Macaca fascicularis: one gene and its partners. The protein of the gene in region 2 purifies or fractionates together with the protein of the main gene of each other region. This does not show direct contact. Links are inferred from orthologs where the notes say so. Each region holds a gene or a part of one and is shown on either strand. Other genes may lie near its edges.

What was found.
Region 1: the proteins of MAPK1 (region 2) and HMMR purify together in Homo sapiens (affinity purification with mass spectrometry; 4 studies listed by BioGRID and IntAct, with this or other methods). This does not show direct contact. The link is inferred for Macaca fascicularis from reciprocal best matches to the Homo sapiens genes MAPK1 and HMMR.
Region 3: the proteins of MAPK1 (region 2) and DUSP9 purify together in Homo sapiens (affinity purification with mass spectrometry; 5 studies listed by BioGRID and IntAct, with this or other methods). This does not show direct contact. The link is inferred for Macaca fascicularis from reciprocal best matches to the Homo sapiens genes MAPK1 and DUSP9.
Region 4: the proteins of MAPK1 (region 2) and DUSP4 purify together in Homo sapiens (affinity purification with mass spectrometry; 6 studies listed by BioGRID and IntAct, with this or other methods). This does not show direct contact. The link is inferred for Macaca fascicularis from reciprocal best matches to the Homo sapiens genes MAPK1 and DUSP4.
Region 5: the proteins of MAPK1 (region 2) and ERF purify together in Homo sapiens (co-immunoprecipitation; 3 studies listed by BioGRID and IntAct, with this or other methods). This does not show direct contact. The link is inferred for Macaca fascicularis from reciprocal best matches to the Homo sapiens genes MAPK1 and ERF.
Region 6: the proteins of MAPK1 (region 2) and STAT3 purify together in Homo sapiens (affinity purification with western blotting; 3 studies listed by BioGRID and IntAct, with this or other methods). This does not show direct contact. The link is inferred for Macaca fascicularis from reciprocal best matches to the Homo sapiens genes MAPK1 and STAT3.

What each region holds. Positions count from the first base shown.
Region 1 is NC_088380.1:170,197,272-170,202,439, reverse strand, and holds part of HMMR (hyaluronan mediated motility receptor), read right to left. Parts: intron 4,131-5,168; coding exon 3,942-4,130; intron 2,631-3,941; coding exon 2,544-2,630; intron 2,453-2,543; coding exon 2,352-2,452; intron 646-2,351; coding exon 571-645; intron 445-570; coding exon 266-444; intron 1-265. UniProt on the Homo sapiens protein: Receptor for hyaluronic acid (HA). Involved in cell motility. When hyaluronan binds to HMMR, the phosphorylation of a number of proteins, including PTK2/FAK1 occurs.
Region 2 is NC_088384.1:31,334,565-31,339,732, forward strand, and holds part of MAPK1 (mitogen-activated protein kinase 1), read left to right. Parts: intron 1-1,683; coding exon 1,684-1,798; intron 1,799-2,100; coding exon 2,101-2,232; intron 2,233-5,168. UniProt on the Homo sapiens protein: Serine/threonine kinase which acts as an essential component of the MAP kinase signal transduction pathway. MAPK1/ERK2 and MAPK3/ERK1 are the 2 MAPKs which play an important role in the MAPK/ERK cascade.
Region 3 is NC_088395.1:159,705,418-159,709,816, reverse strand, and holds the end of DUSP9 (dual specificity protein phosphatase 9), read right to left. Parts: intron 3,446-4,399; coding exon 2,990-3,445; intron 2,722-2,989; coding exon 2,396-2,721; 3' UTR 1,373-2,395; downstream 1-1,372. UniProt on the Homo sapiens protein: Inactivates MAP kinases. Has a specificity for the ERK family.
Region 4 is NC_088382.1:32,536,971-32,542,819, reverse strand, and holds the start of DUSP4 (dual specificity protein phosphatase 4), read left to right. Parts: upstream 1-2,307; 5' UTR 2,308-2,712; coding exon 2,713-3,145; intron 3,146-5,849. UniProt on the Homo sapiens protein: Regulates mitogenic signal transduction by dephosphorylating both Thr and Tyr residues on MAP kinases ERK1 and ERK2.
Region 5 is NC_088393.1:49,302,650-49,306,869, reverse strand, and holds the end of ERF (ETS domain-containing transcription factor ERF), read left to right. Parts: intron 1-292; coding exon 293-408; intron 409-496; coding exon 497-1,770; 3' UTR 1,771-2,663; downstream 2,664-4,220. UniProt on the Homo sapiens protein: Potent transcriptional repressor that binds to the H1 element of the Ets2 promoter. May regulate other genes involved in cellular proliferation.
Region 6 is NC_088390.1:63,362,396-63,367,563, reverse strand, and holds the end of STAT3 (signal transducer and activator of transcription 3), read left to right. Parts: intron 1-709; coding exon 710-752; intron 753-1,031; coding exon 1,032-1,144; intron 1,145-2,446; coding exon 2,447-2,502; 3' UTR 2,503-4,913; downstream 4,914-5,168. UniProt on the Homo sapiens protein: Signal transducer and transcription activator that mediates cellular responses to interleukins, KITLG/SCF, LEP and other growth factors. Once activated, recruits coactivators, such as NCOA1 or MED1, to the promoter region of the target gene.

The DNA of each region.
Region 1 (5,168 bases), on a different chromosome or scaffold from region 2:
AAAGTTAAGAATTATACGACTGTATATATTTCAATCAAGACAGGTAATATGCTGTATTGAAACAAACAGAAAACAAACATTATAAGAGTAAAATATTCTAAAATGCAGTACAGGTTTTTGCTGTTGTACAGCTATATAGCTAATTATATTTAAAATGTTAGTATAGCTAATTATATTTAAAAGGTTGTTTTAGCATAGCAGTATTTTTCCTAAATGTTGTATGTAACACTTATCTAAAGAAAGTAACTATAAAACACTGTAATACCTTTTTCTTTTTCAAGCAGCTGACATTTTGCATTTAGATTGTCTACTTGTTTAGATAATATAACAATATTCTCCTCAAGAGACTGCTTAAGGCTTAACATTTCATCATTCTTCTCTTTCAAATTTTCTTCTAACTGGGCAACATCTAGCTTGTATTTTTCCACTTGATCTGAAGCACAACTGCATTAAAACAAATTGTCTTAAAAAGCACATCTATTTAGGCACAGGGAAAAATAACAGAAAAATGATAAAAATGATTCAGTATTAAAAAAATAAGGTTCAATTTAAAGCTACTGCTCATATTACCTAATTTCTTCGATGTATTCTAAGAGTTTTTCTGTTTCAGATTTTTCATCAATCTTTTCTTTCTCTATTGAAACACTAAAACAAAAATTGCATATGTTAATACATTCTAGTTTCATTACTTAATAATCATACATAATGCTTATGTACCAGATACTGCTGTATCAGGCAGGCTGACTCCAGAGTCCTAACTCTTAACAATTATTTTATGTGATTTCTCAAATTCAGAATTTATATCCAAATACAAGACTAAAATTTTTATTTAAGTGATAAAGTTTTCTGAATATACACTGACAAAAAACCTGTAATGACAAGAACCATCATTACAGTATCCCAAGTGTTAGAAATAATATTTTTTTTGTGGTCTTCCTGGTTTTCCCACCCACCCAACATCCTAAATAGCATTTTGTGTGCCATAAAGCTTTTGTCCCAGACTACCTGGTATTTGATTACTTATCTGTTTACCTCCACCAAACCGTCCAATGCAAGAAATGGACAAAAGACTTCAACAGACACTTTGCAAAAGGTGATATGCACATAAAATGGTCAATAAGCACATAAAAATATGGTCAACATTCATAGCAACAAATTAAAATCACAAAGGAGATACCACTTCCTACCTAGTAGAAAGGCTAAAATCAAACAGACAACATTAAATGTTGGTGAGAATCTGTAACAACTGAAACTGTCATACATTGCCGGGGGGTGTATAAAAATGGCAAAACCACTTTTGAATTTTAAAAAACATTATATATACACTACCCTATTACCCAAGAATTCTACTCCTAGAAATTTATCTGAGAAATAAAAACATGTCCATAAAAAAACATAAAACATGTTCACAGCAGTCTTTTCAATGGCAGAAACTGGCAACAGCCCAAATAATGATCAAAAGGAGAGTAAAGAGATGGAGGTATATTCATAGGGTGAACCACTACTCAGAAATAAAATAGGAAAAATTATAGTACACAGAACAGATTGGATGAATCTTGAAAAATTACATCAAACAAAAGAAGCCACACACACACACATGCTCTTTCTCTCTTGCATGTCCTAAAAAAAGGCAAAACTGGACAGGTATAGCGGCCATGTCTCTATCTCCAGCACTCTGGAAGGTCAGGGTGGTATCACTTAAGTCCAGGAGTTTGAGACCAGCCTGAGTAACACAGCAATGCCCCATCTCTAAAATAATAATAATAACAATAATAATGATAATAAATAAAAAAAGACAAAGCTAATTCATGATGATGTAAGTGAGAAAGTAGTTGTGGGGATGGGGACATGGCACAGGCAGTAGCAGGGAGTCAAGAAGGGGTGTGAAAGAACTTTCTGAAGGGATGAAAATGTTCTCTATCTTGTTTGGTAATGGTTACATAGGTGTATACAACTGCTAAAGTCACCAAACTGAACACTTACTCTCCACACATTTTATTATATGTAAATTAAAGCTCAAAATCAAAGCCTATGATTGTGCATAAATCACAACTTCCTATACCAGTGTTTTTCCGTTTCAATCTAATGACCACTTTCATAAGATCACGAAACCTTTCCTCATCATTAATACAGAAGATGTACAAAAGTAATGCACTCATACAACTTTCTAGCACATGTTTGAGAATGATTAGGGCTCATTCTCATTTAAAAAAAGAAATAGGGCAACTGGAGGGAGGCAATGAGATAAGTACTAAGAGAAGTCTGAAGTCTCAGTAAACAATAATTTGTGAAGAGAGTCAAATCAAGAATTGCTTCCACTTAACAAGTTCTCTTCACATTCAGTCACTTACAGTTTTCCCTCCAGTTGGGCTATTTTCCCCTGAGACTCTTCGAGACTTCTTTGGGTGACCTGCAGCTTCATCTCCATGCCTTCTTGCTTAGCCATCATACCCTACACAACAAAGATACGTGTTTTAGGAAATGAGAAAATTGTACTGATCCCCAGATCCAGACACAGCAAACCTGCCAAAGGCAGCACTCACCCTCATCTTTGTTTCTCTTTTGTTTCTAAGTTTCATCAACTCCAAGCTTAGAATTCTCAAATTCTTCTGGTTACCATTTTCAGAAAACTAAGTACAACAAACACATAAAAAATTCAGAAATATTTTCTGCTAAGATATATTTAAAATACACAAGTATTGATTTTTCTACCTATCACTGGGGTTATGTTTTTGACTGTAATATGCTTTGGTAGAGAGAACAGTCTTTGACCTACACCATAATTACTGATTGATTTTTTTTTTCTTTTGTTTTTAAGAGATCAAGTCTCGCTTCGCTGTCCAGGCTAGAGTGGCGTGGCATGATCATAGCTCACTATAATCTCAATCTCCTGGACTCAATCCTCCTGCCTCATCTTCCTGAGTAGCTAGGATTACTGGTGTGCACCACCACCATGCCTAGCTAATTTTTCAAGTTGTTTATAGAGATGGGGTCTTGATATTTTGCCCAGGCTGGTCTCAAATTCCTGGCCTCAAGCAATTCTCCAGCCCTCAGCCTTCCAAAATGCTGGAAATACAGGCATGAGCCACTGCACCGGTCTACTGTTCTTATCTCTCTTTTCCTTAATATGACTTGCTGGTTTGTTTTGATTTTATTTTTATGAGACAGAGTCTTACTCTGTCACCCAGGCTGGAGTGCCGTGTTGCTCACTGCAACTTTCACTTCCCGGGTTCAAGCGATTCTCATGCCTCAGCCTCCTGAGTAACTGGAATTACAGGTGTGTGCCACCATACCTGGCTAATTTTTGTATTTTTAGTAAAGATGGGGTTTCGCCATGTTAGGCTAGGCTAGTCTCGAACTCCTGACCTCAAGTGATCCATCCGTCTCAGCTTCCCAAAGTGCTGGGATTACAGGTGTGAGCCACTATGCCTGGCCTGCTGGTTTAGTTTTGAAAGGTTGTTTGGGTGGTCACTTACCTCTGTGTGCTGGAAAGTGCATTGCAAGATTCTAAAGCAAGTCCCTGAGAAAGGATTTCTTGAAACATGTTTGCTTAACAAAATAAATCTGAATTGCCTGGTATACTTTGTTTTGTTTTGTTTTTTTGAGACGGAGTCTCACTCTCTTGCCTAGGCTGGAGTGCAATGGCACCATCTCAGCTCACTGTAATCTCCACCTCCTGGGTTCAAGCGATTCTTCTGCCTCAGCCTCCAGAGTAGCTGAGATTACAGGTGCCCGCCAATGTGCCTCGCTAATTTTTGTATTTTTAGTAGAGACGGGGTTTCTCCACGTTGGTCAGGGTGATCTTGAGCTCCCAACCTCAGGTGATCCACCCGCCTTGGCCTCCCAAAATGCTGGGATTACAGCCGTAAGCCACTGCGCCCAGCCCGAAAAAACATGTTTATATTTATTCAACTGTAAATGTTATCATGAGGCTCAGATACCTTAGATTTTAGTAGTTCATTAGTCCTGGTCAATTCAATAAGTTGTTTCTCCAGTGTAGCATTATTTGCAGAGAGAGACGTTTTTTCCCTGAGTGCAGCGTTCAGCCTTGCTTCCATCTTTTCCAACTCAGTTTCCAGATCCTGGATCCGCCTGTCCTGGGCACCACGTTCCTGTAGAAGAACACGAATCTGGACAAAAACAAGGTGAGAATAAATGATTACGAATAATCACCCCGAAAGTTTCTGGAAAAATCTCTGATTTTGACATTATGCTTGTAGATATTCTAATGTTACTAGCTATCTGAATAATCATATTTACCTATGATGCATCTTAAAAGTCTTAATGCATTTTAAGAACAGAAGAACTTTAGTTGCCATAAATTCCAAGTATAATTAAGCTATTTATTCACTTTTTTTTTTTTTGAGATGGAGTCTTGCTCTGTTGCCCAGGCTGGAGTGTGGTGGCAGCATCTCGGCTCACTACAAGCTCCGCCTCCTGGGTTAAAGCAATTTTCCTGCCTCAGCCTCCCGAGTAGCTGGGACTACAGGCGCCCCCCACCACGCCCGGCAAATTTTTTGTATTTTTAGTAGAGACGGGGTTTTACTGTGTTAGCCAGGATGGCCTCGATCTCCTGACCTCGAGATCCACCCGCGTCAACCTCCCAAAGTGCTGGGATTAGAGGCATGAGCCACTGTGCCCGGCTGCTATTTATTCACGTTTAAGGCATTTCCACCTATAACAGTTATTTTCTGTAGCTTCAATTACACAAATTCAAATTAGCTTAAAATACTAAATGTTTTTTATTTCAAGAAGGCAGAGCTGGGCTTCTGAGGAGAATGTACTAGGCATTGGCAAGCCATCATTCTTGCTGCTATTACCAGATTTAAAAAACAAAACAAAACAACAAAACCCCCCCAGACCAATATTTTGTCCACAGAAAATGTGGAAGCCAAAAGACAATGAAATGAAATGATATTTTTAATGTCATGGGGGGAAACCTGCCACCCTAAAATTCTACACCGAATGAAGTCACTGATATAAATTATTAGTTCTAATCCTGGCTTTACCACTCACTCACCAGCTATCTGACTGAGACTCAGTGATTATTCCTCAGTGATTAAATATCAACCCCTACATGTATCCTCAATAAAATGATAGCTAACATGATTAGAATACATACAAAACAATCAGAGCAACTGAGCAGACATCTACAGTTACTCTGACAT
Region 2 (5,168 bases):
GTGGTGTATGCTTGTAGCCCCAGCTACTCAGGAGGCTGAGGTGAGAGGATCACCTGAGACAAGGAAGTTGATTTTGCAGTGAGGCATGATTACACCATTGCACTTCAGCCTGAGTGACAGAGTGATGACACCATCTCTTAATTTTAGAAGAGTCAGCTTATATTCCTTGGAGAAACATCTTTTTTGCACCATTGTTATAATTCAGACAGAATCCTTACATGATTTTTTTTTAATTTTTATTTTTAGAGACAGGGTCTCACTGTGTCACTCAGGCTGGAATGCATTGGCTCAGTCATAGGTCACTGCAGCCTCCAATCCCTGAGCTCAAGTGATCCTCCCACCTCAGCCTCCCGAGTAACTGGAACTGCAGGTGTGAGCCACTGTGTGTGGCAAAAATAATAATAATAAAATAATTAGATAATACCCGGTGTTGTTGAGGACATGAGGAAATGCATTTTCTTTCACATGCTGCCATTAGGAGTCTAACAGCGCTCACTGCAGCCTCAAACTCCTGGCCTCAAGCAGTGCTCCCACCTCAGCTTCCCAAAGTATCCTCCCATGACTTCTAACAGGATTCCTTTAAAAGAAAATATATTCCTGAAAAATGAATAGGAAAAGAAGATGAGAATTCTTTTATTTATTTATTTATTTTTTATTATTATTATTTTTTGGAGATGGAGTCTCCCTCTGTTGCCCAGGCTGGAGTGCAGTGGTACAGTCTTGACTCACTGCAACCTCTGCCTCCCAGGTTCAAGTGATTCTCCTGCCTAAGGCTCCCAAGTAGCTGGAACTATGGGTGCCCACCAGCACACCCGGCTAATTTTTGTAGTTTTAGTAGAGACGGGGTTTTACCATGTTGGCTAGGCTGGTCTCGAACTCCTGACGTCAGGTGATTCGCCCATCTCAGCCTCCCAAAGTGTTGGGATTGCAGACATGAGCCACCATGCCCAGCCGAGAATATTTTAGAAGAGCTTGGTAAAATATGTTGGAGTTAGCACACTCTCCCCCCAGCCCAGAAAAGATTTTTAGACCTTTTTTCTTTTTCCAGCTCCAATTTATGACAATTCTAAATCTGTCTCTCAAATTGTTTCAAAAAAGGACTGATGTATACTTTGGAAATTCTAATTTAATAAATTAATCAACTTTGTGGGTTTGTTGTTGTTTTGAGACGGAGTCTCACTCTGTCACCCAGGCTGGAGTGCAGTGGCACAATCTTGGCTCACTGCAACCTCTGCCTCCTGGGTTCAAGCAATTCTCCTGCCTCAGCCTCCCACATAGCTGGAATTACAGGCACCCACCACCATGGCCAGCTAATTTTTTTTTATTTTTAGTAGAGATGGGGTTTCACCATGTTGGCCAGGCTAAGCTCAAACTCCTGGCCTCAAGTGATCTGCCCACCTCTGCCTCCCAAAGTGCTGGGATTACAGGAATGAGCCACTGTGCCCAGCCCAAGTTAATCAACTATGAAGAGAAAAATAAAATCACATAATCTTGGTTGTTCAGCTTCTCAAAGAAAGCCAAATTGTTTTTTGTTTTTCCATGCTGTTTACTCATCTTTCCGAATTGTGGAGTCAAAGGAGAAGTTCAGAGTCCCATCAGCAATGTACCTGTCATACAGGAAGATCTCTTCATGTCCTATAACACCAGATGCCATTTTCAGTCTTGTCTCTCTTTCTCCTGCAGGGCTACACCAAGTCCATTGATATTTGGTCTGTAGGCTGCATTCTGGCAGAAATGCTTTCTAACAGGCCCATCTTTCCAGGGAAGCATTATCTTGACCAGCTGAACCACATTCTGGGTAAGGTTCCCGAGCCCTTCAGGAGCTAAATTTACTCAAGTTTGCCTGCCTACAGCTTATATCAAAGTCACTTCATTAAATTAAGAAGAATTCTAATACACTCTTTAACCTGTGGTAGGTGTGAATTTTTAACCTTCCCTGATTTAAAGTGTTAAGGACTTTTGTGTAAAAACTTAAGAAAGGTAAGCATTAGGGGTGGTGATAAACCGTTAATTATCAGGGTTCATTCTGACTCACAGTTGATGGTGTGTAGTCATTTGCCTTGGTCTTGATAACTAACAGCTAATTTTTTTATCTGATAGGTATTCTTGGATCCCCATCACAAGAAGACCTGAATTGTATAATAAATTTAAAAGCTAGGAACTATTTGCTTTCTCTTCCACACAAAAATAAGGTGCCATGGAACAGGCTGTTCCCAAATGCTGACTCCAAAGGTAAATGTTATTTCGTTGATTAGTTTTTTCTTAGACTTAGCTTCATGTTTGTTAAATTGTTAGGTCACTAGCCTGAAAAGTGAGCCTATGGCTATTGGATAATGCTTTCTTTAGTGCTCACTCTGAATTGCTGTCTTCCCTTTTTTTGGGAAACAGTGGCAGTGCAGTAAGGGAGCCTGGTAATGACTGTCTAGTTCTCCCCCTTTTGGTTTCTTTGCTAATTTTAACTTGCATTAAGGTCACTTTCTTTTGTTTTGTTTTTGTTTGGGACAGAGTCTCACTCTGTCGCCCAGGCTGGAATGTAGTGCCCCAATCTCAGCTCATTGCAGCCTCCTCCTCCTGGGTTCAAGCGAGTCTCCTGCCTCAGTCTTCTGAGTAACTGGGACTACAGACACGCACCACCACGCCGGCTCATTTTTGTATTTTTAGTAGAGATAGGGTTTCACTATGCTGGCCAGGCTGGTATCGAACTCCTGACCTTTTGATCTGCCTGCCTCGGCCTCTCAAAGTACTGGGATTACAGGCGTGAGCCACAGCGCTGAACCCTGCAAACAAATCACACCTTTTCATCTTGTCACTTGATAATTTTTAAAATCAGGTTTATTGAATAATAATTTACACAGAATAAAATTCACACTTTTTAGTTGTGCGGGCCTCTGAATTTTAACAAACATGAACTGTCGTATAACAACCGCTGCAATTGAGATGTGGAATAATACTCCCATCATCCCCAAAAGTTGCCTTGTGCCGTTTGTAGTGGGTCACCCCTCTCCAAACCCAGTCTCTGGCAATCATTGATCTGATTTCTATCCCTATAGTTGTGCCTTTTCTGGCATGTCATGTTAATGGAATCATGGAGTATGTAGCCTTTTTATGTCTAGATTCTCACATTCAGCATAATGCATTTGAGATTTATAAAAATCCACGTCATTGCTTGTGTCAGTCTCTTCAACAAATGGTGCTGGAACAATTAGACACCCATATGCAAAATTTACAAAACTCAAAATGGAACATAAACCTAAATATAAGGCCTAAAGTTATTAACCTTCAAGAAGAAAACAGGAGAGAATCTTCATGACCTTATGTTAGGCAAAGATTTTTTTTTTTTTTTTTTTTTTTTGAGACGGAGTCTCGCTGTGTCGCCCAGGCTGGAGTGCAGTGGCCGGATCTCAGCTCACTGCAAGCTCTGCCTCCCGGGTTTTTACGCCATTCTCCTGCCTCAGCCTCCCGAGTAGCCGGGACTACAGGCGCCCACCACCTCGCCCGGCTAGTTTTTTGTATTTTTTAGTAGAGACGGGGTTTCACCGTGTTAGCCAGGATGGTCTCGAACTCCTGACCTCGTGATCCGCCCGTCTCGGCCTCCCAAAGTGCTGGGATTACAGGCTTGAGCCACCGCGCCCGGCCGGCAAAGATTTTTTAGAGTACCCATAAAAGAAAAAAGTGATACATTTGATTTTTACCCTTTTTTTTTTTTTAGGTCATCTTCGTTTAATAATTGTATTATCCTTTATTCCCATTTAACATGTACCTGTTAAATATATTAGGCAGCTAGTTTTTAAAACATCATACTATTATAAAACCATGATAGGCGGAATAATGACCCCCCCATCCACCCCCATGGCTATATTCTAATTTCTGGAGCCTATTAACTGTGTTAGGTTCCCTGGCAAACAGGAGTTATGGTTGCAGATGCAATCAAGATTGTTTATCAGCTGACCTTTTTTTTTTTTCCAACTGCTCCTTACAGGGCAGGGCTAATGCATGAGCGGTGTGGTATGCCCAGAGTAGGCCCATCAGCTGACTTTTAAGATAGGAAGGTTGCCAGGCGCGGTGGCTCACACCTGTAATCCCAGCACTTTGGGGAGGCTGAGGTGGGTAGATCACAAGGTCAGGAGATGGAGACCATCCTGGCTTATATGGTGAAACCCCATCTCTACTAAAAAAAAAAATAAAAAAATAAAAAATAATAAAAATTAGCTGGGCGTGGTGGCAGGCACCTGTAATCCCAGCTACCTGGGAGGCTGAGGCAGGAAAATGGCTTGAATCCAGGAGGGGGAGCTTGCAGTGGGCTGAGATCTCACCACTGCACTCCAGCCTGGGCTACAGAGCCAGACTCTGTCTCAAAAAAAAAAAAAAAGATAGGAAGATTTTCCTGGATTGTCTCTCTAGGTAGGTGGATTATCTAGGTGGGCCCATTTATAAAAACAGGATTCCTTAAAAGTGGAGGGGGGAATCTGAATAGGGTGCTTGTCCTTCCATATCTTTATCTGCATACGTGTACGTATTTTCTCTATAATTAATTTTTTTAAAATAATTATTATAAGGGTTAACTTTTTTAAAAATTCAGAAATTATAGAAATATTTAAGAAGGTAAAATTCTTTTATAATTATTCCCTAAATGTCATTGTTAATAGAATTGTGTCTTGAACATCTTTTCACATCAGTGCATAGATCTAGCTTATCGTTAATGATTTTATAGCATTTTTATCCAGTCTTCTGTTAGAAATTTAGCTATTTCTAACTTCCTGTTTTATCTATATGTGTTTATCTGTACATGCATATGAATATATGTGTATATGTAGATTTAACAACTGTCTACTTAAATGTTGAATTGGTTTTATGTATTGACCTGAGTGAAGGTTGAGAAATACTTGGTTGTTTAGAACTGAATTTCTTTTGAAAATGGGAGAAACTTTCTTTTAATCTTTCATATAAAGGTAGAAGAATTTCATCATTGTAGACAGTTAAGAAGTATAGGAGGAATGGTAAGGGAGTATGATCCTGATCACCAGGATCCCACAGTAACCTTTCGTTTTTTTTGCACTAATGTGTGCAAGCTTCTATCTGTGTGGTTGTAATTATATAATGTATTTTGGTTTTGGGGTTTTTTTTTTTTTTTTTTTTTTTTTTGAGACAGATCTGGCTATATCACCCAG
Region 3 (4,399 bases), on a different chromosome or scaffold from region 2:
TACTAGGATTATGGGTGTGAGCCACGGTGCCTGGCTGAATCACTGTTTCTAAGTGCCTCCGAGAGAGATTCTGGAGTGTCCACTACTCTATGCTGAGACCACTCTAAAAGAACAGTTCAGCTTGTGGCTATAAGCTCTCAGGGGAGGGGGAACATTTTCCTTTTATTCCACTTCCCCCCAGATCCAAGGTCAAGATCAGCACACACCCTCTTCTTTCTTTGGGATGTATCTTCCTAGGTCACCTGTTCTAGTAGTTTTCTGTGGCTGCTGTAATAAATTACCACAGAGTTGGTGGCTTACAGTAACACAGATTTCATATCTTCCATTTCAGAAGATCAGCCATCCAAAATAGATTTCAGTGGACTGAAATCAAGGTGTTGGTGGGGTTGCGTTCCCATGGAGGGTCCTGGCTCCTGGGCTAGCCCCAGGGTGGCTTACTCCACTGGCCCAGAGGATTCGCATCATTTCTCACCTCATCACCTTGCTCTTCCTTTCCTACTAGCTCAGCCATTCACACAAATGCCTTTAGATTGCCCCCAACATCTTGTGGGTTCTGGGCCACATTGCTCCCAAAGTCTCCGCAGCTTTCTCGGGCTGCGCTTGCTCCCCGCCACCCTCCAGTTGCCCTTTCCCTCTGCTACATCTCCATGGTGTAGCATGGTTATAGACCCCGGAAGCTACGGTGTGGAGAAGGCATTGGCAGTGTCCCAAGATGAGGAGAGGTGCAGTTCACCTCTGTCCCTTTAGGTGGCCTGTTGGTCTCCATGTTCTCCATGGGGTTCTTCTAGTCCCCAGCCTGGGCTTTGCAGCCCAAATTCCACAGCCAGAGAACCACAACACTCACATGTGCCAGTCTGCCCACACCCCTCCCTGTCACTCTCAGGATGCCACCCAGCCGTGGCAGCCCTCAGGTTCCAGGCAGGGCTCCGGGCTGACTTGGCCGGTGTCTCAGGGATCACTTGTGAGTGCTGGGTCCTCGCTTTTCTGCTCTGTCCATGGCAGTGGACATCTATGGCATAACTGCAGTGCTGTGACTGTTGCATGTATCATTTCTTCCCCCACTAGAAAGTCTGCTCTGAGCAGGCAGAGCTCACTGCTGCAACCCAGTCCCCCGACAGTGTGTGGCACAGACTAGGGGTTCAAATGGAGGTGAATGAATGTGCAACTCAGAGCTTGGGCCAGCGGGCAGTGTAAGCACAATATGGGAAATGATAACATGGGGCGGGGAGTGGGTGGTGCTTGAGTCCCTGGCCAGCCCGACACACCCCCCTTTCCACCATGGGCAGTCCAGAGAGACCAAGAGGGCCTCCTTCCCCACCTTCCCCCAAACCCTCCAAGGTGCTCAGGAGGTAGCTTGCCTCTCTACTCAGTATCTTAAATAAACTGTTTATTCAGAAGGAATAATTAAAGAAAGCAACTGTGATATGGATTACAAAAACAAATAAGCATAGCTCCTCTCCAGGCTCCAGGGTGAGATGGCCCCGTGCCGCAAAGACTGCCAGCCCTGGGCTGGGTGAATCAGTGGGCTAGCATGTGTGTGTGAGTGCCGACACGCGCGCACACACACGCACACCCGCCACCCACAGGGGTGTGGGCAGAAATGAATGACTGTGTGTGTCTGCAGCTTGGCCCCTTCCCCAGCCCCCAAAGTAGCAGCGGCTGTGTGGGCCCCGCAGCAGCAAAAGTGAGGCCTTCTTCTTCCCCTCCCCCTCCCCAGCTCTCGCTCTGAGACCCCATCTCCTCCGGCAGCAGTTTGACCACCCTCACTCACAAAGAGCGCCAGTGATCCCGTCAAGACATCTGGGGGAAGAGGGAAAAAAAAAAGCCCACCAGATGTGTGGCCGGGAACCTGCCCAGTCGCTCCTAGGCCATGGATGCAGGCAGCCACTGCACCTCTGGGTCCCCATTCCCTGGGAGGCCCCAGCCCCGAGAGGCCCAAGCCCTTGGTGGAGAAACAGGGAGGTGACAACACCAGTGATGGCAAACTCCTCTCCCCCAAGCAACCATTTGGGGACAGGGGAGGGACTGGGAGCCAGTCCCTGTGGCAACAAGGTGAGACACACCCTTCCTGAAGGAGGAAGCGCAGGGAGGTGCAGGGCCCAGCCGAGCTGGCCGAGCACCCAGGGCCGGGGCCGGGGCCTGGACAACCACCTGGAGAGGGAACCCCCACCCCCATCCCGCAAAGCAAAAAGTAACAGTCGCAGAAGAGGCAGGCTCAGAGCAGCCCTGCCGTAGGCACGTTGATTAGGACGCCAGCCCGCGTGAGGTATTGCGCTCTCCCCCCAGCACCCTGCTCAGGCCGAGCCCTCCCGCCCTCCCCTCCCTTGCCGCACGAGTGGGCAGGGACACCCGTGGGTGGGGGTGGGGCAGGGGCCGGCCCGCCGGCCACTGGGCCCTAGGTGGGGGCCAGCTCGAAGGCGCCATCACTGGTGGGGGTGGTGAAGAAGGAGGGCGGGTCAGAGGCCATGGATGCCTGCCCCCCACTGCCCTGCTCCTGTGAGCGGCGCTCCTCCAGCCGCAGGCTGCGCTCAAAGTCCAGCAACTGCCCCATGAAGTTGAAGTTGGGGGAGATGTTAGACTTCTTTCTCTTGACCAGGTCATAGGCATCGTTGAGAGAGAGGTGGAGCTTCTGCATGAGGTAGGCCACAGTGACGGTGACAGAACGGCTGACCCCCGCCAGGCAGTGGACGAGCACCCCGCAGTTCTGGGACAAGGCCTCATCTAGATGGGGCAGGACAGGGCCCGGGAGACCCCGAGGGCAAGCGTGTGTGAGGCCGAGGCCTTCCGAAGACCCCGCCCTGCCCCCTGAGCCAGATGGCCACGGCCTGGAGTTTTCGCTGGTGGCCTCTGGGGGCCGCCCTAGCTCTGCCTGTCCCCTAGAAGTGCCACCCTGGCTTTTGGCTCTGGGAATGGCAGCTGGGCTTGGGAGGAGTGCTCACAAGGGGGAGGCCAGAGCAGGTCTTGGGGAGGGTGGGTGGGGCGGACTCACCGATGAACTCAATAGCCTCCGGGAAGAACTGCGACAGGTTCTGGCTCCAGTGGTCGGAGATGGGGATCTGCTTGTAGTGAAAGTCGCCATTCTTCTCGAAGAAGTTTGGGAGGTTGGGGGTGACATTGAGGATGTAGCGGATGCCCAGTTTGGCCAGGCTCTCCAAGTTGGCGGAATCCCGGGCACTGCCCAGATAGAGGTTGGGCAGGATCTGGACAGGGAAGGATGCCCGCAGCCCCACTGGCGGGGGTGTGGCACCCTCCGAATCCAGGCCACAGCTCATGGAGTCGCGGTCAGCCTCGGATTCCGCATCAGAGCAGTCGGAGCCCAGGCACAGACTGCCCAACCCCACTACAGGCACCGGACTGGGCACCGGGGCCATGCTGGAGCCGGCACGGCCACTAAGGCTGGTCTCACACAGGTGAGGGCACTCGGCCTGGAATCTGCTGAAGCCACCTGTGGGGGAGAGGGCATGGGGCCTGCTGACCTGGCCTCCTGGGCAGCCAAGTACCTCTGTCTGGGGCTGGGGAGCTGACCCTAGACAACTTGGAGGGTTTGCAAATGTTCCTAAAAGGAACACAAAACCCAGCAGCTTGGTGTGTCCTGGTGCCACGTGGAGCCCTAGCCACCCTCACTCAGCACTCTCGGCCACTGCTCTGGACAGCAAGTGCCCACTGCAGCTGCTGGGGCTGCAAGAAGCTGGGCTCACGCTGAACCACCGGAGAGGATCTTACACCCCTAGGGTCAAGCTGAGGCAGGTGTGAGGGCTCAACAGAGCTGAGATATACTGCCAGCCTTAGGGAGGACTGTGGCCATCAGTTAAAGAAAAGGAAGTTCTCTGCCTGGGCATGTCCTGACCCTCAGGGATGAAGTGGGACCCCAAGATGTGGGGAACTTGGGGGAGAATGTGACATTCCACCAGAATGGTTCTAAAGTCTCAAGAAGCCAGCATCTCTATTTACAGATACTATTTCCCCGGGCTGGAAACCTGACACTTTATATGCTGTTCAGGAGGCTAAGGTGGGAGGATCGCTTGAGCCCAGGAGGCTTCAGTGAGCCGTGATTGCACCAATGCTGTCTGACCCCTGCCTCCCTTGCTCATTTGCTGAGCAGGTGGGAGAGGTGGCGATACCCTTGCCGAGACCCTGGGGAGCCCACACTTTCTACTTCGCTCTTGAGCATCCTGAGAACTAGCTCAGGTCAGGCCAATTCTCCCCATTTTCCAGGCTCAGAGACTGGGCTGCTGAGGGTAAAGAACTTGCCCACGGTCACACTCAGGCTTCCCTCCTCTCAAAGCAGCCTGGCAGGTCATCAGAGGAGGGGGGCCTCAACTCGCTTTGGAAAAAAAGAAGTGGGGCTGGCCTAAGGTCAAATGAATCCCAAACGCCCTGGAAGGAGGGCCCCGCGGCA
Region 4 (5,849 bases), on a different chromosome or scaffold from region 2:
CCAGCGACGTCTCCCCAGCTCCTGCGACACGCGGGAAATTGGCCCGGACCTGCCTCCTGAGAGGCTTTTTCCAGAAATGTCGTTAAAGCCTTTGTAAAGGTATCGGTGTTTACTTGCGCCGGGAGAGCTCCGGCTCTGGGGCCTGACAGGCGGCGGATTTCTGAGCTGCTAGAGAGCAACCCGGGAAAGCAAAATCAGCCTTGGACTGTCGGGGCCCCTGGGGCTCCTTGCTCCTTATCGAAAGCGAGTTATTAGATAGACCCCCACAGTCCTATTCAGCAGAATGGGAAACTGGACTCCGACACCTTTTGCCCTCCCCACAGGGAGGCCACGCAGTGCGCCTTTGACCACTTATCTCCCACCCGGAGTACCCGACGCCCAGGGTCCCGCCACCGGGCAGCCTCGGTCAGTCCACAGTTGTGGCCCCTTCCAGGGCCTGGACTAGGGTGAGCACGAGCCTTGAGCGCAACATTTAAGAAGGGCGCCGAAAAGTCAGTAATCAAAAGAAATATCTTGATGCAATGCCTCTTTAAACAAATAAACAAAAAAAAATGCAAAATATCCATGATTAATAAAATACTAAATTTTAAAAAGAGAAAGGATCCGTGCTGTGCCATCGTGAGCCATTTTGGAGCCCGGAGCAAAAGGAAATATCACCTTGCCCAAGCGGTGCCCCTCACAGCCCATCCGAGTAGGACCCGAGGGCCGAGGCATTCGGGGCGCAGTGGGGGACGAGGCTGGTCGAAGGTCTCGGAAGTGGAGGCTCCGCCGAGCTCCGGTGGGAGAGTGCAGGGATGCCCCCGGGACCGGAGGTGAGAGCTCTAGAGAGCAGCTCCGCCTGGAACAAAGGCATGGGGAGAGGGCGAGCTGGGGCGGGAGAGACCCGGCGGGTTCCGCTGCCCTCGCTGCCTGGGTCGGGCTTCCACGCGCGCGCTGGAATGGAATACGCTACTCTGCAGCCTCCGAAACTGCGAGCGAGTCCTGTAACTCCCTTGCTCTGTGATTCTCACTAACAAGACTTGGCAAGATGTCGGGCGAATAATTTTTGGCTTCTGCACGGTCCCCACCGCGTGCGTGCACAAACCCCCAGCCAAAAGCCGCCTCTGGGAAATTAAACGCAAAAGATAAATGGGGATGGGGAGGGCTGTTACGTGACCAGGAAAAAGGGATGCCCAGAAACCTGAATCAGGCCCAGAGCTGAAGTCCTTTCAAAAGGTCATTTTTTTACGGGTACATTTTCCAGGGTCCAGCTCCGCAGCAAATGTGGACCATGTCATTTCCTGAAAGGATAATTCACAACTATGCAAAATAGGGTGAAAACCTTTCCCAAATCCGAAAACCTTGTTTCTCCCCCGACCAGGGTTAAACAAACATCTTTTAGGAAGCGTGGACAGAAATGTAGACGGCTCTCCTCCCTCGGAACACCATTCCGGCAATTAATGCCTCCCTTTGGGTCGTAAAGCAACAAACCCCACACCTCACTCGGATCCTGGGCTTCGGGCGGGAGGACTTTCTCTTTCATCTTCCAAGCAGGGGGTTGCCCACGTTCCTGAGGAAGCTATAAAACTGATTTAATGGCTTTGGATGAAAATCGATCACGCTAATACAAACTACGTCTCAGGAATCACATTTTCAGAAAGGACTGGCCGTGTCGAAAGCGCATGGGGAGTCTGGGGCTAGGAGGTGCCAGGCCCCGCCGGGTGGGCAGCGGCGCTCTGGTCCCCTCTCCACTTGGGTACCCAGGAGAGACCTGCGGGGCTGTCACGCTGGGAAGCGCGAAGGTGCAAAGGGATGAAAGCTCAAACCCGAGCCCCGGCCTCCTCAGCCGGCTATATTCCTTTGACACCGCCCGCCTAGCGGCGAGGTGTAGCGGCGGCACAGGTGCCGGTGTCGGGTTGGAGGCGCGGCGCAGCCTGGGCCAGCGGGCAGACAGCGAAAGGCGCCGCGCGCTCCATTCACAAAGTCCAGGCGCTGCCTGCAGCTCGCGGCGGGTCGGAGGCCGCCTCGCTCTTCCTCTCGGCCTCGGTTTTATGAATGGGCCTGGCGGCGAGCACCCCGCGCCCTGTTTACTCCGCTCTTTGTGACGTCGAGTTCCCGTGACCAGGAGCCAGCGGCCGCGCTCCATTCAAGCTCCGGGGAGGGGGTGGGAGGAGGGGCTGGAGGGGGCGGGGAGTCAGCGCGGGGGGCGGGGGAGGGCGCCGAGCCCGGAATGGAACGGGGCGGGGCCTGGCGGGGTAGTACCTAGCGCCCCCTCCCCCTGGAGCGCGGAGGAGCATTAATAAATCTCTAAGCCTAGGAGGAAACTCTGGCTGGGGTAGTGCGCGGCGCGCCGGGGGAGCGTGGGGAGCGGCAGCGCCTGCGCCGGTGGCGACAGGAGCCGCGCGACCGGCAAAAATACACGGGAGGCAGCCGCCGAAGAGAGTCCGCGGTCCTCTCCCGTAAACACACTCTCCTCCACCGCCGCCTTCCCCTCCGCGCTGCGCGCCGCCCGGCTGGGCACCCGAGGCCGCTCCAACTGCTATGTGACCGCGAGGCTGCGGGAGGAAGGGGACAGGGGAGAAGAGGCTCGCCCGCGGGAGCCCCTGAGGACCAAGTTTGCGGCCACTTCTGCGGGCGTCCCTTCTTAGCTCTCGCCCGCTTCTTCCTGCAGCGTAGGCAGCCCGGGTGCCCTTCTCTTCCTCGCGCGCCCAGCCGCCTCGGTTCCCGGCGACCATGGTGACGATGGAGGAGCTGCGGGAGATGGACTGCAGCGTGCTCAAAAGGCTGATGAACCGGGACGAGAACGGCGGCGGCGCAGGCGGCAGCGGCAGCCACGGCGCCCTGGGGCTGCCGAGCGGCGGCAAGTGCCTGCTGTTGGACTGCAGACCGTTCCTGGCGCACAGCGCGGGCTACATCCGAGGCTCGGTCAACGTGCGCTGCAACACCATCGTGCGGCGGCGAGCTAAGGGCTCCGTGAGCCTGGAGCAGATTCTGCCCGCGGAGGAGGAGGTGCGTGCCCGCTTGCGCTCCGGCCTCTACTCGGCGGTCATCGTCTACGACGAGCGCAGCCCGCGCGCCGAGAGCCTCCGTGAGGACAGCACCGTGTCGCTGGTGGTGCAGGCACTGCGCCGTAACGCCGAGCGCACTGACATCTGCCTGCTCAAAGGTAAACGCGGGCTCCGGGCGCTAGCTGGAGGGGAAATGGAGGGGGTCTTGGCGGCCTGCACCTTATTGGCACGGGAAGGAGGGCCCGGCGAGATTCGTAGTTGCAGGGATCCCCGCGCGCCCTTTTGTGTGTTGGTGTGTACGGGTTTGCGAGGTTTCTGTGCAAGTGAGAGCTTCAAGTCCTCAGGGACAGTGCGGACGGGTTCCCCCGCTCACCTGCAATTCCGCACCGTCCTAGCGAGGCCCCGTTTATTGAGACTAACGGTCCTGGCCTCGAGGATGAAGCGGCCACTCTGCGCGGCCCATCTTGAGTCCCGGGAACAGTTCCCAAGTACCACGGGGCGCGTGGGGACAAGATAGGCCTGTTGGTTTGGCTTGCCAGGGCCCTGCACTGAGCCGGACCTGGAGAATCAGAGAGGTGGGGAAAAGGGTGAAGAGGGGTGGACGCCGAGGTACAATTGGCCCTGCCAGTTTCACTGAAAACAAGACCCTGGCAATGCAGAAAGGAGATTGGGTTGCACACACCGTGTAGAGCGATCTGTATCTGCGTTCCCGCTGCCCAACTCCGAGCTCAGCTTGGAAGGTGGCCAATTCCCGTCCCGGGCTAGATCCAGGCTCTGGGAGCGGGAGGCTGGAGGACTGGGTATCTGGGGGACGCCGGGCGGAACCGGTCCTCTAGCTCCTGCAAATCCGGGCAGCGGACAATGACCACCTTTTGTTCAGCCCGGATTTTCGACTATCTGATGGCGGCGCGTGCCGGATTTTAGCGAGCCCTGGCGAAACTCTTGGCGGCGGGGCTGTCTTGTCACATTTGTAGTCAGACATCCCGGAAAAATCGCGTGCCGTCCGAATCCCTGGAGGGATCGGGGGCCCGCCACACCTGCAGGGCCGGGTGGGTCCGCGGCCCTCGGGCTAGGGAGCGGGCAGGGCGCGTGGGGTCCGGGCGCTCCCTGCCGCGCTGCGCCCCCCGCCTCCCGCAGCCGCATTCCGCGCATTCTTTCGTGCGGGTCGGGTCTGCGCTTCCGAGCCCGGGAGGCATTTCGGACCCCCCCACACCCCATCAAAGAGCCGCTCCTCCCCCTGCAGGCGCCTTCGCCGCCTCCCTCTTTTCCTTTCCTTTCCTTTCCGCTCCTCTTCCGACCTGTCCACCAGGGAGGAAGGGAGCTGGAGGGGGGCGGAAACCTCTCCCCTCCAAAAAACACAACAAAATTGCTCGGTGCTGAGGAGCCGGGTTCGCCCCTGCCGAACAGCGGGGGGCTTTGTTCTCCGCAGTTGTTTCCTGCCCATTTGACCTGTCAGCTGCTGGGGAAACGCTGCTGTTGACCTTTGGTTGAACTGCTAAGGCGATTTTGCTGATTTTTATTTCTTTTTCCGCGGGGGCCGTCTTTTGCTCCTCCAATTGAGCCCAGTCCCCCTCCCTTCTCCCCAAAGCGCTCCAAGAGAAAGTGCCAGGAAGGGGCTTGTCCCGGAAGGCCTGACCGCTGAGCGGGGCCAGGTCCTGATTAGGCCACCAGGGTGGGCTTCCGCGCCATTGTTTGAGCTTGTCGGCGCTAGTGGGAGAGATGAGGGCAATTCCTCTGGGACGCAAGTCCCCTGGAGTGGCCGGGGCTGGCCGGCATGTTCCCCGCACGGCGCTGCCCTCGAGTCCCCCCGATGGAGAGCGCGGGCGCGCCTTCCTTCGCTGGCCTCCAAACCCGGGACCCGCGAGAACACAGGAGGGCTGGGCTCCAGCCCCACGTGGAGTCTGGGTTTGTTTTGTTGTGTTTTGGTTTCCTTCCTGGAAGAAATCCCGAGGGGACCGCTCTAGAGCGGCATCTCCGGGACCTCGTCCCTTGGGCTTCCGGGGTTGCAGCCACTTAGGCCCCGCTCCCGGGGAAAAAGGGATTATTTTTTAAGGTTTATTCCCAGGGCGCGCGGCATTTCCCTGTCCCTCGTGAATCCCGTTGAGAGTCCACCTCCCCAACCTCCTCCGTTTCCTCAGCCAAACCGATTCGAAGCCCTGGAGACTCTGGGCGAGGCTAGGGACTGAGTGGGATAGGCCTCTTGGTAAAATGACAGCCCTCCGGTGTGTGGTGAGGTGCCTGGCCAACGGAAGAGAAGTATTTTAAAGGGCTGTTTCCTCCTGGAGCCTGCACTGCCTCTCGTAGTCGGCCCCGATGCGGGCAGGGAGGATCATCTTCGGCATCGCCAGGTGGACATCCTTGCAGATGGAGGTGTGCAGGCCTGGGCCACAGATCAGCTTCGGTCTCTTCTGGAATAGCCCCTCCTTCCCTGCCCCCTGTAACCAGAAGTTCAGCTTCTACTTCACAAGCAAAGGGAGCCTGCCCTTGGAAGCAAGCACTTAAAATTGAGAGGTGGGGGAAATCTTCCAGCTTGCTCTGTAGTGGTGATGAACATCTTTGAGGTTAATTGGGCCCTATTCGTTTTAGCTTAGCTGATTTTGACATATGTGTTCAGCAGAGGCCATCTTTAACCCAGTTCCTCTTCCTTGCCCTCTAATGGAAAGCATCCCTAGAGAGGTCAGAAGGAAAAAGTCAGTATCTGCTCCCACAGCTCTGCGGGTAGGGGCTGGGGAAGGAAATCAAGGTGTCTCCCAGGTCTCCAGATACACCTCCCTTCCGTGCCTGGAAGCCAGTGCAGTGGATCAAATGTGGTTTCCCGGGAGGGGGCTCTGGGGCAGAGACCTAAAGAGGAATTTTGAGAAG
Region 5 (4,220 bases), on a different chromosome or scaffold from region 2:
TGGCTTTGCCAAATCCTAGCTGTGTGACCTTGGGCCACTCCCAGCCCTTCCCTGAGCCCCTTGGTAACGCAGAAGTATCTTGAGGAGAGAATACGGTCACCAGTGGATCCTCTAGTCTTGCCTTACATGTGAGGAGAGAGCTGGTACCCACTCTCTGGGCACTTGATTTGTCTTCTGTGGCCCACGTTCCTCAGTTGGCCTTTGGGACCACACCTAAGTGCGTGTTAAGGTGTGGAGTCTAGACCTGGATCCCACATACCTGACCCTCCCAATGGCATTTCTGTACCCACAGCTATTACTATAACAAGCGCATTCTGCACAAGACTAAGGGGAAACGGTTCACCTACAAGTTCAATTTCAACAAACTGGTGCTGGTCAATTACCCTTTCATTGATGTGGGGTTGGCTGGTGAGTACCGGGGATGGTTGGTGTGGAGGGGGTCTGTGTGCCCCTTCAGGCTAGGCCAGGGGCCTTGACACTGTCTCCCTTCCGCCAGGGGGTGCGGTGCCCCAGAGTGCCCCGCCAGTGCCGTCGGGCGGTAGCCACTTCCGCTTCCCTCCCTCGACGCCCTCCGAGGTGCTGTCCCCCACCGAGGACCCCCGCTCACCACCGGCCTGCTCTTCATCCTCATCCTCCCTCTTTTCTGCTGTGGTGGCCCGCCGCCTGGGCCGAGGTTCAGTCAGTGACTGTAGTGATGGCACATCAGAGCTGGAGGAACCGCTGGGAGAGGATCCCCGGGCCCGACCACCTGGCCCTCCAGATCTGGGTGCCTTCCGAGGGCCCCCGCTGGCCCGCCTGCCCCATGACCCTGGTGTCTTCCGTGTCTATCCCCGGCCTCGGGGTGGCCCTGAACCCCTCAGCCCCTTCCCTGTGTCACCTCTGGCTGGGCCTGGATCCCTGCTGCCCCCTCAGCTCTCCCCGGCTCTGCCCATGACGCCCACCCACCTGGCCTACACTCCCTCGCCCACGTTGAGCCCGATGTACCCCAGTGGTGGCGGGGGGCCCAGCGGCTCAGGGGGAGGCTCCCACTTCTCCTTCAGCCCCGAGGACATGAAACGGTACCTGCAGGCCCACACCCAAAGCGTCTACAACTACCACCTCAGCCCCCGCGCCTTCCTGCACTACCCCGGGCTGGTGGTGCCCCAGCCCCAGCGCCCTGACAAGTGCCCGCTGCCGCCCATGGCACCCGAGACCCCACCGGTCCCCTCCTCGGCGTCGTCATCCTCTTCTTCTTCTTCCTCCCCATTCAAATTTAAGCTCCAGCCACCCCCACTTGGACGCCGGCAGCGGGCAGCTGGGGAGAAGGGCCCAGCTGGTGCTGACCAGAGCGGTGGCAGCGCAGGCGGGCTGGCCGAGGGGGCAGGGGCGCTAGCCCCACCGCCCCCGCCACCACAGATCAAGGTGGAGCCCATCTCGGAAGGCGAGTCAGAGGAGGTGGAGGTGACTGACATCAGTGATGAGGATGAGGAAGACGGGGAGGTGTTCAAAACACCCCGTGCCCCACCTGCACCCCCCAAGCCTGAGCCCGGTGAGGCACCCGGGGCATCCCAGTGCATGCCCCTCAAGCTACGCTTTAAGCGGCGCTGGAGTGAAGACTGTCGCCTGGAAGGGGGTGGGGGCCCCGCTGGGGGCTTTGAGGATGAGGGCGAGGACAAGAAGGTGCGTGGGGAGGGGCCTGGGGAGGCCGGGGGGCCCCTCACCCCAAGGCGGGTGAGCTCTGACCTCCAGCATGCCACGGCCCAGCTCTCCCTGGAGCACCGAGACTCCTGAGGGCTGTGGGCAGGGGACCCGTGTGCCCCCCACCCCCCATGCTTCTTTTGCTGCCTTAAGCCCCCTGTGCCCTGGAGGTGAGGGCAGCTCTCTTGTCTCTTCCCTGCCTCCTCCCTTTCCCCTCCCCACATTTTGTATAAAACTTTAATTTCTTTTTTTTAAATGGTGGGGGTGGGTGGGTGCCCAGGGCTAGGGGCTGTTCCCTGTCTCTGTGGGTTTCTAAGCTCTGGGCAAAGTGGTGGTAGCGGGGAGGGAGGGGGAAGTTAAGGGGGCCACCTCCATTCTGGGGAATTTATATTTGAATTGAGGCTTTGGCCTTAACACCCAGGAACTTTTTTATTACAATCGCTTAGGAAGTAAAGCCTTGTCTCCCTCCCTGTTCTCTGCCTCTTGTACCCCTCTGGCCCACCCACTCTGCCCCACTCCCAGCCCTTCTCAGCCCCAGCCCTGCCTGCCCTGCCCCTCCAGGGGGCCATGAGTGCCTAGGTTTCTCATACCCCACAAGGTCACAGCAGGGGAGGGAGGGACAATTTTATAATGAACCAAAAATTCCATGTGTTGGGGGGTGGGGGGCGGAGGAGGGTGAGGGGTGCCGCCCATGGGCCACAGATCTCTACAAGTGCCTGCTATCCCTCTCCCACTCCCCACCCCAGCACCGGTCCAACCCCTTCACCCCCAGCTGCTCCTAGGACTGGCCCATGGGCAGGCGGGTGGGGGGATGGGAAGGGGGTACCCTGAAACCAAACTGGAAGCCTCCTCTGCCTCCCAGCTGGGGCCTCTGGAGTGGGGTGGGGGGCTGTGGTCAAGCCTTATTCTGTATTGGGGACTGAGGGTGGGGGTAGTAGAGGGGCCGCTGGAGAATGTATTCAAAACAATAAAACTTTGGACCTTTGGATGCGGTGATCAATGTCCTAGGTGCTGGGTGCAGCCCCCTGCTTTTGTTTGATTCTGAAGGAGGGGCCCCAGCCTGGCTGCCAGTGGGTCTGTGGCCAGATCGGTATAGAGGGCCTAACCCTAATCAGAATGGGCCAAATCCAGGCCTGGGAAACTGTCTTGACCTCAGAGGCACTTAAGTCCCAGAGTTTGATGATAGTGGTCTCGGGCATGCACCAGCTTCATCTGACTGCCCCTCTGTTCCATGGGGACCTTGTCCTTGAAAGCTCTTCCCACTGTTTTTCACCACAATCCCACTGCCCTTGCTCTTCTGATTGCCTGGATGCCTTCCCACTTGTGGCTGTGAATTCTTCCCACACCCCAGGTCCCCAGCGAAGACCAGGAGCTCCCTTTTGCACTGCCCCTCACACCCTGCCCACACCCTTCTCTTGTTGCTCTGAGTTCAGCCGGGAGCCCTTTGGAGAACAGAACAGCCTGCAAGTTACCTTGCAAGGTAACTTGGTGATCTTCTGGTCCAGCCATGGGAACACCCCCAGCCAGCACACAGCCAGGGGACTGGCTCACTAGTCATCAATGCTGTTGATCTACTGTGTGTCCAATACTTATGAGCTGCAATGTTGTAGCTCTTTCATTATCTAGTAAGGTAGGGGCAACCGGTGCTGCTAAGTGACTTGCCCAGGGCCCTGTGGCTGAGCCAGGACTTCAAAGCCCACGTTCTTTCAACAACTGAGTTTTCCTTCCTAACACCAAGATAGTTGGATCCAGATCAGGCTTTCAGGATCAGAGGATTTGAGATGAGCTCATAAAGCTAGAAGCTGAGATTGGAGAGCTCGAATCAGGGATGAAAGAATTAGGAGGAATAATCCAGGCTGGAAGTGCCTTTAGAGACAAGTCCTGTCTCTTTCTCGCAGGTGAGGTGCCTGAGGCCCAGAAAGGGGAAGGGGCTTCCCCAAGGCCACACAGCTGCTAAGAGATGGAGTGGCAATTGAGGGCTTGTTGGACTGGCTTCACCATGAAACTCCACCCTGTGCAACCCTGAGGGGGAAGGAACGTTGACTGGCAACTGCTACCCACTCGCACCTCATTTCATGCCAGCCAGGGTGGGTGGTCCCAGATGATGTCGGTTGGCAGGGAAGAGAGGATCCAGAGCTAGGATACTGGCAGGAAACCGAGGCTCCTGAGGCGGCCTGCGGGAAACTGCTCCCTCTCCTGGGTGATGTAAGTCATTCCCTGGGGTGGGGGCCACTGGGCTATTTCTGGAAGCTGGGATGAGACATGTCTCCTGGCAACATAGTTGCAGCTGAGTTGGTGGTGGGGTGATGGAGATGGGGATGTTGTCTCTCGGGAGGAGAGGACCCTAACTACTGGCCTCAGCCTCTAAGCCCAGTGCCTTCAAAGCACTTCTAACCACATCTAATATGGAATCATCAGTGCTCAGCTCAGCTCCCTAAGTGCTGTCCAGGTCAGACCACAGCCCTACCAGACTAGTTGCCCCAGATTCTGGCTGTGTAGGATGTCACAGGTGGCATTTGGCCTTAAACTCCAGTGGCTCTCTA
Region 6 (5,168 bases), on a different chromosome or scaffold from region 2:
AAAGAGAGACCATGCCTTGCTCCAGGTCTCTTAGCTATTGAAGATGTACCTGGACCCAGGTCTCCGGTCTAGTTGAAGCAATTGTACTGCCCTACAAAGTCATATTCTCTTTGGTGCTTCCTGATTGATGTATTTATCCAACTAGGAAGTTACTTATGCCCTCATCCAAAAATGTGGTAGAGGCCAGATTAGTGCTGGTGGGAATAGGAGATATAACCTTTGGCTTTGGAACCACAAGCATTAGCAGTCTCCATGTTCTTTAAAGACTCGGTGATGTTGGTACACCAGGCAAAGACTACGCAGGCTTGGTTCCTGCATTCAGAGAAGTTATCTAAGAGATATGACCAGGCTAGAATAGAATCCTTAGACTACATGGAGGCTGTTAAACTTTTACATAATCTAGGGAAAGAATGGACACAAGGTTGGCATTAGTCTAGGCTCAGGTGGGAAAAGGTTATGCTGAAAAGCCTCTGCAGCTCAGGACAGCTTTGTGCAAAGAACTGAGGTTCAAAGCTGCTAGTGCCTAGGACATCAAATAGTATAGATGAGGGCGGGCAACGCTGAGGGGCGGATGGAGCTTTCCAGACAATCTTGGCATGAGGATGGAGTGAGTTTCAAATCAGTCCAGCTGAGGCAGATGGCTTCCTCCGGCTCTGCTTACTGAATGCGAAGTCACAGTCAGTAAGAAAACTGGTTTTCTTCTTCCCAGGCGCCGCCCCATACCTGAAGACCAAGTTTATCTGTGTGACACCGTAAGTGGCTTCCTTTCCCAATTTTGCCTTCATTTCTAATATCCTCAGTTATCCCTGGGAGTAGGACACTGGGTGAGAGTTAATCTGCCGAGGGTCGGAAGCCCCTGGGCTATGTTTAGTACTCACAGTGACCTTGTGTGTTTAAAGAGCTTGAGCTTTTATTTTTCTGTTGGAGACCAGAGTTTGATGGCTTGTGTGTGTGTGTTTTGTTCTTTTTTTTTTTCCATTGTGTCTTGTCAACCCCCCGTTTCCCCTCCTGCTGCCCCCCATTTCCTACAGAACGACCTGCAGCAATACCATTGACCTGCCGATGTCCCCCCGCACTTTAGATTCATTGATGCAGTTTGGAAATAATGGTGAAGGTGCTGAACCCTCAGCAGGAGGGCAGTTTGGTGAGTATTTGGTTGACAGACTTTGTCCCTGTAAGGGAAGTTGGTCCCCTTTGTATGATGCTCTCACATGTACAACACACCGAGAGCTGGTCACTCAGAATGGTAGGAGGTTCTAGAGCATTGCTTTCCAAAAGAAATGGTATGAATGCCACGTGCGGGTATAAATCTAGCAGCCACACTGGAAATAGACGAAGTTAATTTTTACAGTGTATTTTATTTAACCCAGTAAATCCAACATACTGTCAATTTAACATTTCAGGCCAGGCTTGGTGGCTCACGCCTGTAATCCCAGCACTTTGGGAGGCCAAGGCAGGCGGATCATGAGGTCAGGAGATCGAGACCACGGTGAAACCCTGTCTCTACTAAAAATACAAAAAATTAGCCAGGCGCGGTCGCGGGCGCCTGTAATGCCAGCTACTTGGGAGGCTGAGGCAGGAGAATGGCGTGAACCCTGGAGGCAGAGCTTGCAGTGAGCTGAGATCACGCCACTGTACTCCAACCTGGGTGACAGCGAGACTCCCTCTCAAAAAAAAAAAAAAAATTTAACATTTCAGAAAAAGTTGAGGCTGGGTGGGTGGCTCACGCTTGTAATCCCAGCACTTTGGGCGGCTGAGGCGGGTGGATGACTTGAGGTCAGGAGTTCAAGCCTAGCCTGGCCAACATGGTGAAACCCCATATCTACTAAAAATACAAAAATTAGCTGGACGTGGTGGCGCATGCCTGTAATCCCAGCTACTCGGGAGGCTGAGGTAGGAGGATTGCTTGAGCCTGGGAGGTGGAGGTTGCAGTGAGCTGAGATCGTGCCACCGCACTCCAGCCTGAGTGACAGAGTGAGATTCTGTTTCAAAACAACAAAACTAAACTAAAAGAAAAGAAAAAGTTGAGACCTTTTTTTTACTCTTTTTTTCATACTAAGTCTTTAAAATCCGGTGGGCTTTTGACAGCCACAGCACAGCCCAGTTTGGACAAACCAAATCTCCAATGCTTGGTGGCCACGTGTGTCTTGGGGCTCCTGAATTAAACAGTAGATCAAGGGCAGAAGATCTAAGGACAGCCTTAGATCTTCTGTAAACATGGAGATCTGGGAATTGGTTAAGGGAGGAAGGAGAAAGGGCCCTTCCAGAGGCAGGGTCCTCTAGGGAGGAGAGTAAATCTGGCTTTTCTGACCATCCCTGGGCCCTAAGGGACAGGAGATTGGATAGCAGTTGTAGCCTGGGTCCTATCCTCTGAAGGGCTGGGGGCGTGGCCTGCCAGTTGCAGAGGGTGGACAACTGAACTAGTTTTCCCTGTCTGTCCCTCCAGAGTCCCTCACCTTTGACATGGAGTTGACCTCGGAGTGTGCTACCTCCCCGATGTGAGGAGCTGAGAACGGAAGCTGCAAAAGATACGACTGAGGCGCCTACCTGTGTTCCGCCACCCCTCACACAGCCAAACCCCAGATCATCTGAAACTACTAACTTTGTGGTTCCAGATTTTTTTTAATCTCCTACTTCTGCTATCTTTGAGCAATCTGGGCACTTTTAAAAATAAGAGAAATGAGTGAATGTGGGTGATCTGCTTTTATCTAAATGCAAATAAGGATGTGTTCTCTGAGACCCGTGATGGGGGGATGTGGCGGGGGGTGGCTAGAGGGAGAAAAAGGAAATGTCTTGTGTTGTTTTGTTCCCCTGCCCTCCTTTCTCAGCAGCTTTTTGTTATTGTTGTTGTTGTTCTTAGACAAGTGCCTCCTGGTGCCCGCGGCATCCTTCTGCCTGTTTCTGTAAGCAAATGCCACAGGCCACCTGTAGCTACATACTCCTGGCATTGCACTTTTTAACCTTGCTGACATCCAAATAGAAGATAGGACTATCTGAGCCCTAGGTTTCTTTTTAAATTAAGAAATAAGAACAATTAAAGGGCAAAAAACACTGTTTCAGCATAGCCTTTCTGTATTTAAGAAACTTCAGCAGCCGGCCGCAGGGACTCACGCCTGTAATCCCAGCACTTTGGGAGGCCGAGGTGGGTGGATCATGAGGTTAGGAGATCAAGACTGTCCTGGCTAACACGGTGAAACCCCATCTCTACTAACAGTACAAAAAATTAGCCGGGCGTGGTGGTGGGTGCCTGTAGTCCCAGCTACTCGGGAGGCTGAGGCAGGAGAATGGCATGAACCCAAGAGGCGGAGGTTGCAGTGAGCCAAAATCACACCACTGCACTCCAACTCAGGCAACAGTGTGAGACTCCATCTCAAAAAAAAAAGAAAAGAAAAAGAAACTTCAGTTAACAGCCTCCTTGGTGCTTTAAGCATTCAGCTTCCTTCAGGTTGATAATTTATATAACCCCTGAAACAGGCTTCAGGTCAAACCCTTAAAAGACGTCTGAAGCTGCAGCCTGGCCTTTGATGTTGAAATAGGAAGGTTTAAGGAGAATCTAAGCATTTTAGACTTTTTTTTATAAATAGACTTCTATTTTCCTTTGTAATGTATTGGTCTTTTAGTGGGTAAGGCTGGGCAGAGGGTGCTTACAACCTTGACTCCCTTTCTCCCTGGACTTGATCTGCTGTTTCAGAGGCTAGGTTGTTTCTGTGGGTGCCTTATCAGGGCTGGGATACTTCTGATTTGGGCTTCCTTCTTGCCCCACCCTCCCGACCCCAGTTCCCCTGACCCTGCTAGTGGCATGTCTCCTCCCATGTCTGAAGGTCCCTCGTCCTGTTTGTTTTAGGAATCCTGGTCTCAGGACCTCATGGAAGAAGAGGGGGAGAAAGTTACCAGTTGGATATGATGCAGACTATGGGGCCCCAGCGACGTGTCTGGTTGAGCTCAGGGAATATGGTTCTTAGCCCAGTTTCTTGGTGATTTCCAGCGGTCAGTTCAGGCAGGGCAAAGGCTTACTGATAAACTTGAGTCTGCCCTCGTATGAGGGTTATAGCTGGCCTCCCTCTGAGGCTGGTGACTCTTCCCTGCTGGGGCCCCACAGGTGAGACAGAACAGGTAGAGGGCCTCCCTGTCTGCCCGCCTTGGCCAGCTAGCTTGCCTCTCCTGTGCGTATGGGAACACCTAGCACGTGCTGGGTGGGCTGCCTCTGACCCAGAGGCATGGCCGAATTTGGCGACTCAAAACCACCTTGCCTCAGCTGATCAGAGTTTCTGTGGAATTCTGATTGTTAGATCAAATTAGCTGGTCTCTGAATTAAGTGGGAGAGGACCTTCTCTAAGATGAACCGGGTTCGCCCCAGTCCTCCTGCCTGGAGACAGTTGATGTGTCTTGCAGAGCTCTCGCTTCTCCAGCAACACTCTTCAGTACATAATAAGCTTAACTGATAAACAGAGAGAATATTTAGGAAGGTGAGTCTTGGGCTTACCATTGGGTTTAAATCATAGGGACCTCGGGAAAGGGTTCGGGCTTCTCTGGAGCAGATATTATGAAGTTCATGGCCTTAGGTAGCATGTGTATCTGGTCTTAACTCTGATTGTAGCAAAAGTTCTGAGAGGAGCTGAGCCTTGTTCTGGCCCCTTAAAGAACAGGGTCCTCAGGCCCTGCCCGCTTCCTGTCCACTGCCCTCCTGCCCGTCCCCAGCCCAGCTGAGGGAATCCCGTGGGTTGCTTACCTACCTATAAGGTGGTTTATAAGCTGCTGTCCTGGCCACTGCATTCAAATTCCAATGTGTACTTCATAGTGTAAAAATTTATATTATTGTGGGGTTTTTTGTCTTTTTTTTTTTTTTTTTTTTTTTTTGGTATATTGCTGTATCTACTTTAACTTCCAGAAATAAACGTTATATAGGAACCGTCTGATAGCATGGCAGCTCTGTCTGGCTGGTGGAGGCTTCCTTTTCCCCTGCCTAAGTTCTGAGGAGGCCTCACACACAGGCGGGGCCTGGGATGGGGGCCGGAAAGGGTCTTGAGAGGAGGTGGTTGCCTTAGTCCCCAACCCCATCCCCTTATGTTAGCCACCAGCCCGGAGGTAAGGGGTGCCTGGAGGAGCAGGAGGTCAATAGTCCAACGGCAGAAAGGTGTAAGAGTGGAGGCCTCCCTCCCCAACCCCCT